Lonchura striata: one gene and its partner. The protein of the gene in region 2 interacts with the protein of the main gene of each other region in a pairwise test. Links are inferred from orthologs where the notes say so. Each region holds a gene or a part of one and is shown on either strand. Other genes may lie near its edges.

Region 1 (3,743 bases), on a different chromosome or scaffold from region 2:
TGGTGGGGAAAAGCAGTTTGGGGGGCTCAGAGGGGTGGAGTTTGGAGCAGGGTCCCGGACCTGCAGGAAGCGAGTGAGCAGTTCCCGCTTGGCTTTGGCCGCCTCCTCCTCAGCCAGCGCTTGTCTCTGCAGGAGCAGCAGCTCGTCCTCGGCCGCCCTGGGGGCAGCGGGACGGAGCCCCGCCATGGCTGGAGAAGGGGACACGGCAGGAGGGGTCGGGGGATGCCCGGGGTCTGCCTGGTGGTCCCTCCAGAGCCCCCCCCCACCACCAAGGCCTGACCCCCTCCCCTCCAGCCCCCCGCACTATGGGGTACCCCACACCCCATAACCTTCTGCCCACCCCCGTCTCCCTCCCCAGGCTCCCTCCCTTTCCTGTCCCCTCCACTTAGAGTACCCTCAGACCCCCTCAAGCCCTGCTCATCCCCTCTCCCCTTCCAGCCCTGTTTCCACTTCCCTCCCCAGGCCTCCCCCAAGGCCCATTCCCCGCTGCCCATCTCCAGAGCCCTCCCAGCTCACCCCCTCCCTCCCACGCTCTCCCAGCGCCCACTGCCCTTTGCCCAGCCCCACCTCCGCCTCTGGGGTCTCGCTCCCCGCTCTGGGCTCCCGGTCCCGGTCTCGGTCCCGGTGCCGCTCGCGTCCCTCCGGTCTCCCGGCAACGGCGGCGGGCGGAGCCTCGCGGCACTTCCGCCCCGCCCCGCACCGGCGCCCCCTGCCGGCCAAGAGCGCGCCCGCACCCCCTGCGGGGCGTGTCCCGCGAGCTCTGCCTCGCCGCTATTGGCCGGCGCTCCGGGATTCCCCGCGCTGATTGGCGAGCGGGCGCCGCCGTGGGCGGGCCCTGCAGCCGGCGGGGTATATAAGGGCGCTGCGGCGGCGGGGCGCAGGGCGGTGGGTGGGTGCGAGTGGGGGGGTTCACGCGCGCCGCCGCCGCCATGCGGGAGCGGAGGCCGGCGCCGGCCGCTCCGGCCCGGTGCAAGCTGGTGCTGGTGGGTGACGTGCAGTGCGGCAAGACGGCCATGCTGCAGGTGCTGGCCAAGGATTGTTACCCCGAGGTGAGCCCACAGCGGCACCGGGAACCGTGCAGCGGGCACCGGCAAGCGGGAACCGGGCGCTGACGCTCTCGGTGCCCCGTTGCAGACGTACGTGCCCACCGTGTTTGAGAACTACACGGCGTGCCTGGCCAGCGAGGAGCAGCGGGTGGAACTGAGCCTCTGGGACACCTCCGGTACCGGGGACAGACGCGCGCGGTGCACGTTTGAGGGGCTACCGGAGAAGTGGGGCGGGGGCTGCCCGACCCTGGCTCGGTTGTTTGCTGGGGAAGGTGGTTTGGGGTTTTTTGGGGGGGGGGTCACGGTCGGGATGCTGCAGTGAGCGGGGGGTCGCTGCGGTGGGGTGCTCTGGTGTCCCGAGGGTGTTTCGGGTGTCTCGGGGCCCTGCAGCGCGGCGGGGAGGGGCGCCGGTGGCCGTGGCGAGGTCTCGGGGGTGTTTTGGGGGTGTTTTGTGGTCCCTGGGGTGGGTTCAGGTCCGGGGTCATATCCGTGGCTGTGGGGAGCGCAGCTTCTCCCCAGGGACCGACCCCACGGTGATCCAGACACCCTGGGGGGGTCACAGGAGGCTGAGCCCCCCATGGTGTGAATTGAGCGGATTATGGGGTATCCCGGTGTTGCCCTTCCCGGGGCACCCCGAAGAGTTTCGGGGGGGGTCGGGGTAGCCCTGCCCGGTGCTGCAGTGTCCCCCCCGGTAGGGGGGGGTCCCCGCCGGTCCCCGGTTGCCATGGCGATGCGCTGGCGCAGCCTCTTTGCTATTCTGTGCACGGAGCGTCTGGGCTGCGAAACCCCTCCGAGGCTTTTGGGGGGCCGGGGGGGGACGGACGGGAGGGACATCCCGGAGCCCGCCACCCCCCTGACCCCTTCCCGCACCCTCCTTTCCCCCGCGCCGCGACCCCCGCGGTCCCCGGTGCGGTGCTGGTGGCTCCGTGTCCCCGAGGACCCCGAGGGGGTGGCAGCGTGTCCCACCCCCTCCTCCGGCTTCTCCCCCCCAACCCCGACACCCCTGGGTGCTGCCGGGGCTCCCCAAAACGGGGGGCGGGGGGGATGTTACATAAACACCGCGGGCTCCATTTCCCGCTGCCTCGCCAAGGCGCGATGCAGCTGATGGGCTGCGGGGACGGAGGTGGCGTTTTGGGGGGGTTCCAGAGCTGTGCCCCTCTCCCCGGCCCCAGGGGGGCTGTGTCCCTTTTGGGGGGCTCTGGAGCTGTGTCCCTACGTCCCTCTTGCTGTGTTTGTTTTGGGGGTCTCTGCCTTTTGGGGGGCTCTAGAGCTGTGTGTCCGTCTGTGCCTTTTGGGGGGCTGTGTCTGTTTTGGGGGGCTCTAGAGCTGTGTGTCCCTCTGTCCCTTTTGGGGGGCTGTGTCCTTTTTGGGGGGCTCTGGAGCTGTGTGTCCCTATGTCCTTCTTGGGGTTCTCTAGAGCTGTGAGCCACCACCCTGAACAGGAGGGGAGCTGTGTTTGTTTTGGGGGTGTCTGTGCCTTTTGGGGGGCTCTAGAGCTGTGTGTCCCTCTGTCCCTTTTGGGGCACTGTGTTTGTTTTTTGGGGCTCTAAAGCTGTGTGTCCCTCTGTCCCTTTTGGGGTGCTGTGTTTGTTTTGGGGGGGCTCTGTGCCTTTTGGGGGGCTCTAGAGCTCGGTGCACACACTTCAGGCATGAATAGGATTTGTCTTTTTTAAGGGAGTCTAGACCGGTGTCCCCCCTGTCCCTTTTGAGATTCTGTGTCTGTTTTGGGGGGCTCTAGAGTTGTGCTCCCCTGTCCCTTTTGGGGTTCTCCCAAACTGTGAACCCTCATGCTGGGCAGGAGTGAGGCTGTGTCTATTTTGGGGGGCTCTGTCTTTTTTTGGGGAGGGGCTCCAAGGCGGTGCACGCCACCTCAGGCAGGAGGTGGCTTCGTGTCTCTTGAGGGGCTGTGTCCCTTTTGGGGGCTCTGGAGCTGTGTGTCCCTCTGTCCCTTTTGGGGGTCTCTGTCCCTTTTGGGGGTCTCTGTCCCTTTTGGGGAGCTGTCCCTTTTGGGGGTCTCTAGAGCCGTGCCCTCACCCCGGGCAGGACCGGGGTCTCTGTCCCTTTTGGGGGTCTCTAGAGCTGTGTGTCCCTCTGTCCCTTTTGGGGGGCTGTGTCCCATTTGAGGGGCCGTGTCCCTTAGCCAGACCCCCTTTCCCATGTCCCTGGGGTGGGGGGGCTGAGCTGTGACCCCCCCAATTTTCCCCCAGGCTCTCCCTACTATGACAACGTGAGGCCCCTGTGCTACAGCGACTCGGACGCCGTCCTGCTCTGCTTCGACGTCAGCCGCCCCGAGACCCTCGACAGTGCGGCCAAGAAGGTGGGGAGGGGGCTCAGGCCCCGGGACAGTGTCCCCGTGGGGTTTGGGGGGCTCAGAGATGTGGGGACACCACCCTGAGGTGTCCCCGTGGGGTTTGGGGGGCTCAGAGATGTGAGGACATCAATGCAGGGGGATCTCTGTGGGGTTTTGGGTGCTCAGAGATGTGGGGACACCACCCCGAGGTGTCCCCGTGGGGTTTGGGGGGCTCCGAGATGGGAGGACACCAATGCAGGGGGATCTCTGTGGGGTTTGGGGGTTCAGGGCTGTCAGGACACTGTCCTGGGGGGTGCCTCTGTGGGGAGAGGTTTTTGGGGTTGCCCTGAGAGCAGCTGTGTGCCTCGACCCCTCAGTGGAAGACGGAAATTTTGGATTATTGCCCC
Region 2 (3,743 bases):
GCACCTCTTCTCCGAGGAAAGGCTGGAAGAATTTGCGTTATTCAGCCTGGAGAAGGTTCCAGGGTGACATTATTCAGGACTTTCTGTACCTGAAGGGGTCCTACAAGAAAGCTGGAGAGGGACTTTTTACAAGGCAATACAATTCTAGGGATAGAACAAGAGGAATGGCTTCAAAATGACAGAAGGCAGATTTAGATTAGATGTAAGGATGAAATTATTTCCTGTGAGGGTGCTGAGGCACTGACACAGGTTGCCTGGCAAAACTGTGGATGCCCCATCCCTGGATGTGTTCAAGGCCAGCCTGGATGGTCTTTAAAGTCCCTTTCAACTCAAGCTGATCTGTGATTCAAATTTCTGCAGCACAAAGAAGGCTGCCTTTGTTCCAGGGGGTAGCACTCTTTATCTTAAACCTTCTCCACAATGCTGGTCCCGTTGGCTCCGGCCTCGGGACACGCAGAATCACAGAGCTGTTGGGTTTGGGAAGGACCTCTGGCGACCATCCAGTCCAACTCCCTGCCAAGGCAGGGTCACTTGGAGCAGATGACACAGAACTCGTGCAGGTGGGTTTTGAAGGTCTCCAGCAGAAGCTGCTCCGGGTGGAGCTCCGCCGAGCAGCCCCAAAGACGAAACCTCGGGGAGCCGCTGCCTGGGGAGAAGCGCCAGCCAAGCTCCGGCGGCTCGGGGCCGTTCGGCCGCCGCTGGCTGGGCCCGGGGAGGCTTCTGGCCCCCTCGACTGCTCCCGCTGAGGCCTCCCGGGCGCGGGGACCGCCCGCAGCCCTGCCCGGTCACCCTGCGGCGCCGCCACCGCGGCCACGTCAGGCCCAACCACAGCGGCCCCGCGACCGCCGCGCACCCACCCTTGAATAGAAGAGCGCCGCCTGATTGGTCAGGAGCGCTGTCATTCCTGCGCCAGAAGGCGGGGCTAAGAGGGGACGGCAGCAGCTGATTGGTCGGCACGGCGGCGGGCGGCCGCTGGGGTTGGTTGCGCCGGGCAGTGGCGGGTGCGCGGGAGGGAGGGGCGGGGGGTCCCGAGGCTCCGCTGTCACCGCCGCGCTCCCGCCAGGCCCGGCCCAGCCCCGTCCGCCCGCCCGCGGCGCGGCAGGACCATGTCGGCCACGGACGAGCGGGCCAAGGAGATCCTCCGCGGCTTCAAGCTGTATCCTCCGTGCGCGGGGGCCGCGAGGCGCCGCGGGGGGCGCGGGGATCGCCGCCCCGCTGTGGCGAGGCCCCTGGGGCGGGAGGGAGGTTGCCATGGCAACGCGGTTCTCAATGGCGTCCGCGCTCCGGCGGTGACGGGAGGGTCCCTCGGGGCTGGGACCGGCCCTGGGCCGGCCGGGCCGGGGGGGCGGGGAAGGAGGCCTCGCGATGCCGGGGTCCCGTCCCTGCCTGCGGTGCCGCGGGTGAGGGGTCCCCGCGCCCAAAGTCCTGAGCCGGTGGGCGACCGCCGCCCCTCGGCCCCTGCCCGGCGCCGAGAGGGGCTGGGCGGCGGCGGCGGCCCCGGGCAGCCGGAGCCCCCCGCCCGCAGCGAGGACAGCTTACGGAGGGCAGGTGAAGTAGCTCTGCGCCTGGATCTGACCCCTTTCCCTCCGGCCTGCCCTTCAGCACCTCTGCTCGGAAGGGAGATACCTGGTCATCAGGTGCAGGAGCACCCAAGCACCTCGTTCCTTGTCATGCCGTGAGGTACTGGCACATGTGTTGGTCGTGCGGTGTCTTTTATTGCTGACGTATTCTGCGTGTAAATGCCTTTCTGTGCAGCTCGTTTAAAAACTTTTCATGTTGTGGCTTTCAAAAAGCGTTCTGATTTTATGCCTGTGGTACCTGGATGTGAATTTAAAGCTGATGAAATGAGATAGAGCTGAGCTTGGAACAGAGGCAAGTGCCTTTGTGCACCTTCCAACCCAGGATTTCAGCAAAGCAGAGAAAGGCTTGACCTAAAGGCCCATGTTCAAACTAAAGGTGTGAGAAATATTGTAGCTTTATTTTACATGTGGAATATTTTACTGAAGTAAATTCTTCTCAGCTTAGAAGGCAAATGCAAGATTGCTATCTTGATCTTTAGACATCAGAATATTGTTATAAGTTGGTTCTTTTTTTTTACAATAAAAAGGACAGAAGTGAAGGAAATATCCTCTTGATCGAAGCCTGTTATTTCTAAACAGGGTGGTGGGGTTTTTTGTTCTGTGAGATGTTCATAATCTCTATGCCAGCTGTAGCAGGATGTGATTTTTTAGGTTAGATTTAGACAGATAGCTTTTATTAAACTATAAGCCGATGCTTTTCTTAACTTTTTATCATTGCAGTCTCCTCCAGCTGTTAGTACTTCATCTGGTTCCTTTGCTTCTGCACTGGCACTATTGACAGTTCTTTGTATTTATGAAGATGTGGAATTTTAGCTGTCAAAAAATAAACTAAAAATCTTTTCTGCTGGCAATCAGAAGAATAAACTTCTCACAAGACCAGACTAAGCTGTTGGTAGAAGTGAGGAGTGCTTTGGAAGTTAAGCCTAGGGAGAAAACTTTTAAGTGCTTTTTGCATGTGTTTGTACATAGTATTTATTGGATAGCAGAATTTACATAAAGGCCTTTGCCCAACTCTGAATGAAATAATACTTTTTGTTGTTTGCCGTCTTAAAGAGAAAATGCATTTTGCTCTTTGAGAGGAAGGATGTCAGACAACAAATTATGATCTCAAGCAGCCATAGCATGGATAAGAAGTTTTATTAGAAGCACTCTGCAGTCTGTGTTGAAGCATCTCAAGTCTAGTCTTCCTTTGTTTGTCCTTGCAAAAAAAAAAATACTTCTGGCAGGACAGTTTAAGTTAAAATCTGGGGAGCTGCCACAGGGGCTGTGTAGTGCAAAGTCTGACAAACAGGAAAGTTTGGAGAAACATTTCATAACTGAAACTTTTAGCAAGTTGAAATAGTTGAGAAACATCTATGTTGCCTTTAGTAAGCCAGAAGAGAGGCTGAGCAGACATTCCTCATTTGTGGGGAAGCCTTGAGACACCACACCATCCCCACAGGAAACTGCTCATGCCCAGCTGTGGCCATGCTCCCTGCAAGGGAGACATCAGCTCAGACTTCCCTTCCCTTGTCCAAGGGCAGGCATCTGTTCCAGAGATAATTGCAGTTTAGAGATGCTTTATCTTCCAGCCACCCTATTGCTGCATGTACTCATTTAATTAATAGAAAGGAAGAGAGAAACGTGTTCTGAAAAACTGTTCAGTTTATACTTTGAGTATCTGAAAACTTTGTCCTCTGCTCCCACATGGGAAGGAGTTCAGCTTCACCAACTCAAGCAACTTTGGCACTTCAAACTGAAACTTGCTTTTGGCACAAGAGAGGAGCATGGCATTGCACCCAGGGGCAGTGTGTGAGGGATTCCTTGGGAGAGAAGAAGAGTTGCTAGGGCCAAAAGCATCACTGAGGAAGCAGGCTTCCAAAATAATCCCTAATTTTAACATGACAGCAGACACTTAAGCTGGAAGTCCAGTTCACATTGAGTAATCAGAGTTTCCTCAAACAATTCTGTTTCCTTGTGGTTCCTGAGAAGGGGTTAATTACAAGCTTTCCAACTCATTGGGGCACGCTGGATGATTGGGGTATGTGGAAATTAAATTATAGCCTAAATCCACCCTCTAATTTCAATGCAAAGATAGGTTTTCCTTCCTCTATGACACTAGTGCAGAAACATGTAGTGACTAATGTCCCAAAATCCAAGCCAGGAACATTTATTCCTTCTTCT

What was found.
Region 1: the proteins of PDE6D (region 2) and RND1 interact in a two-hybrid assay, tested with the Homo sapiens proteins (2 studies listed by BioGRID). The link is inferred for Lonchura striata from reciprocal best matches to the Homo sapiens genes PDE6D and RND1.

The regions. Positions count from the first base shown.
Region 1 is NC_134629.1:6,084,697-6,088,439, forward strand, and holds the start of RND1 (rho-related GTP-binding protein Rho6), read left to right. Parts: upstream 1-891; 5' UTR 892-929; coding exon 930-1,049; intron 1,050-1,134; coding exon 1,135-1,222; intron 1,223-3,253; coding exon 3,254-3,363; intron 3,364-3,713; coding exon 3,714-3,743. UniProt on the Homo sapiens protein: Lacks intrinsic GTPase activity. Has a low affinity for GDP, and constitutively binds GTP. Controls rearrangements of the actin cytoskeleton. Induces the Rac-dependent neuritic process formation in part by disruption of the cortical actin filaments.
Region 2 is NC_134612.1:18,215,608-18,219,350, reverse strand, and holds the start of PDE6D (retinal rod rhodopsin-sensitive cGMP 3',5'-cyclic phosphodiesterase subunit delta), read left to right. Parts: upstream 1-1,013; 5' UTR 1,014-1,106; coding exon 1,107-1,156; intron 1,157-3,743. UniProt on the Homo sapiens protein: Promotes the release of prenylated target proteins from cellular membranes. Modulates the activity of prenylated or palmitoylated Ras family members by regulating their subcellular location.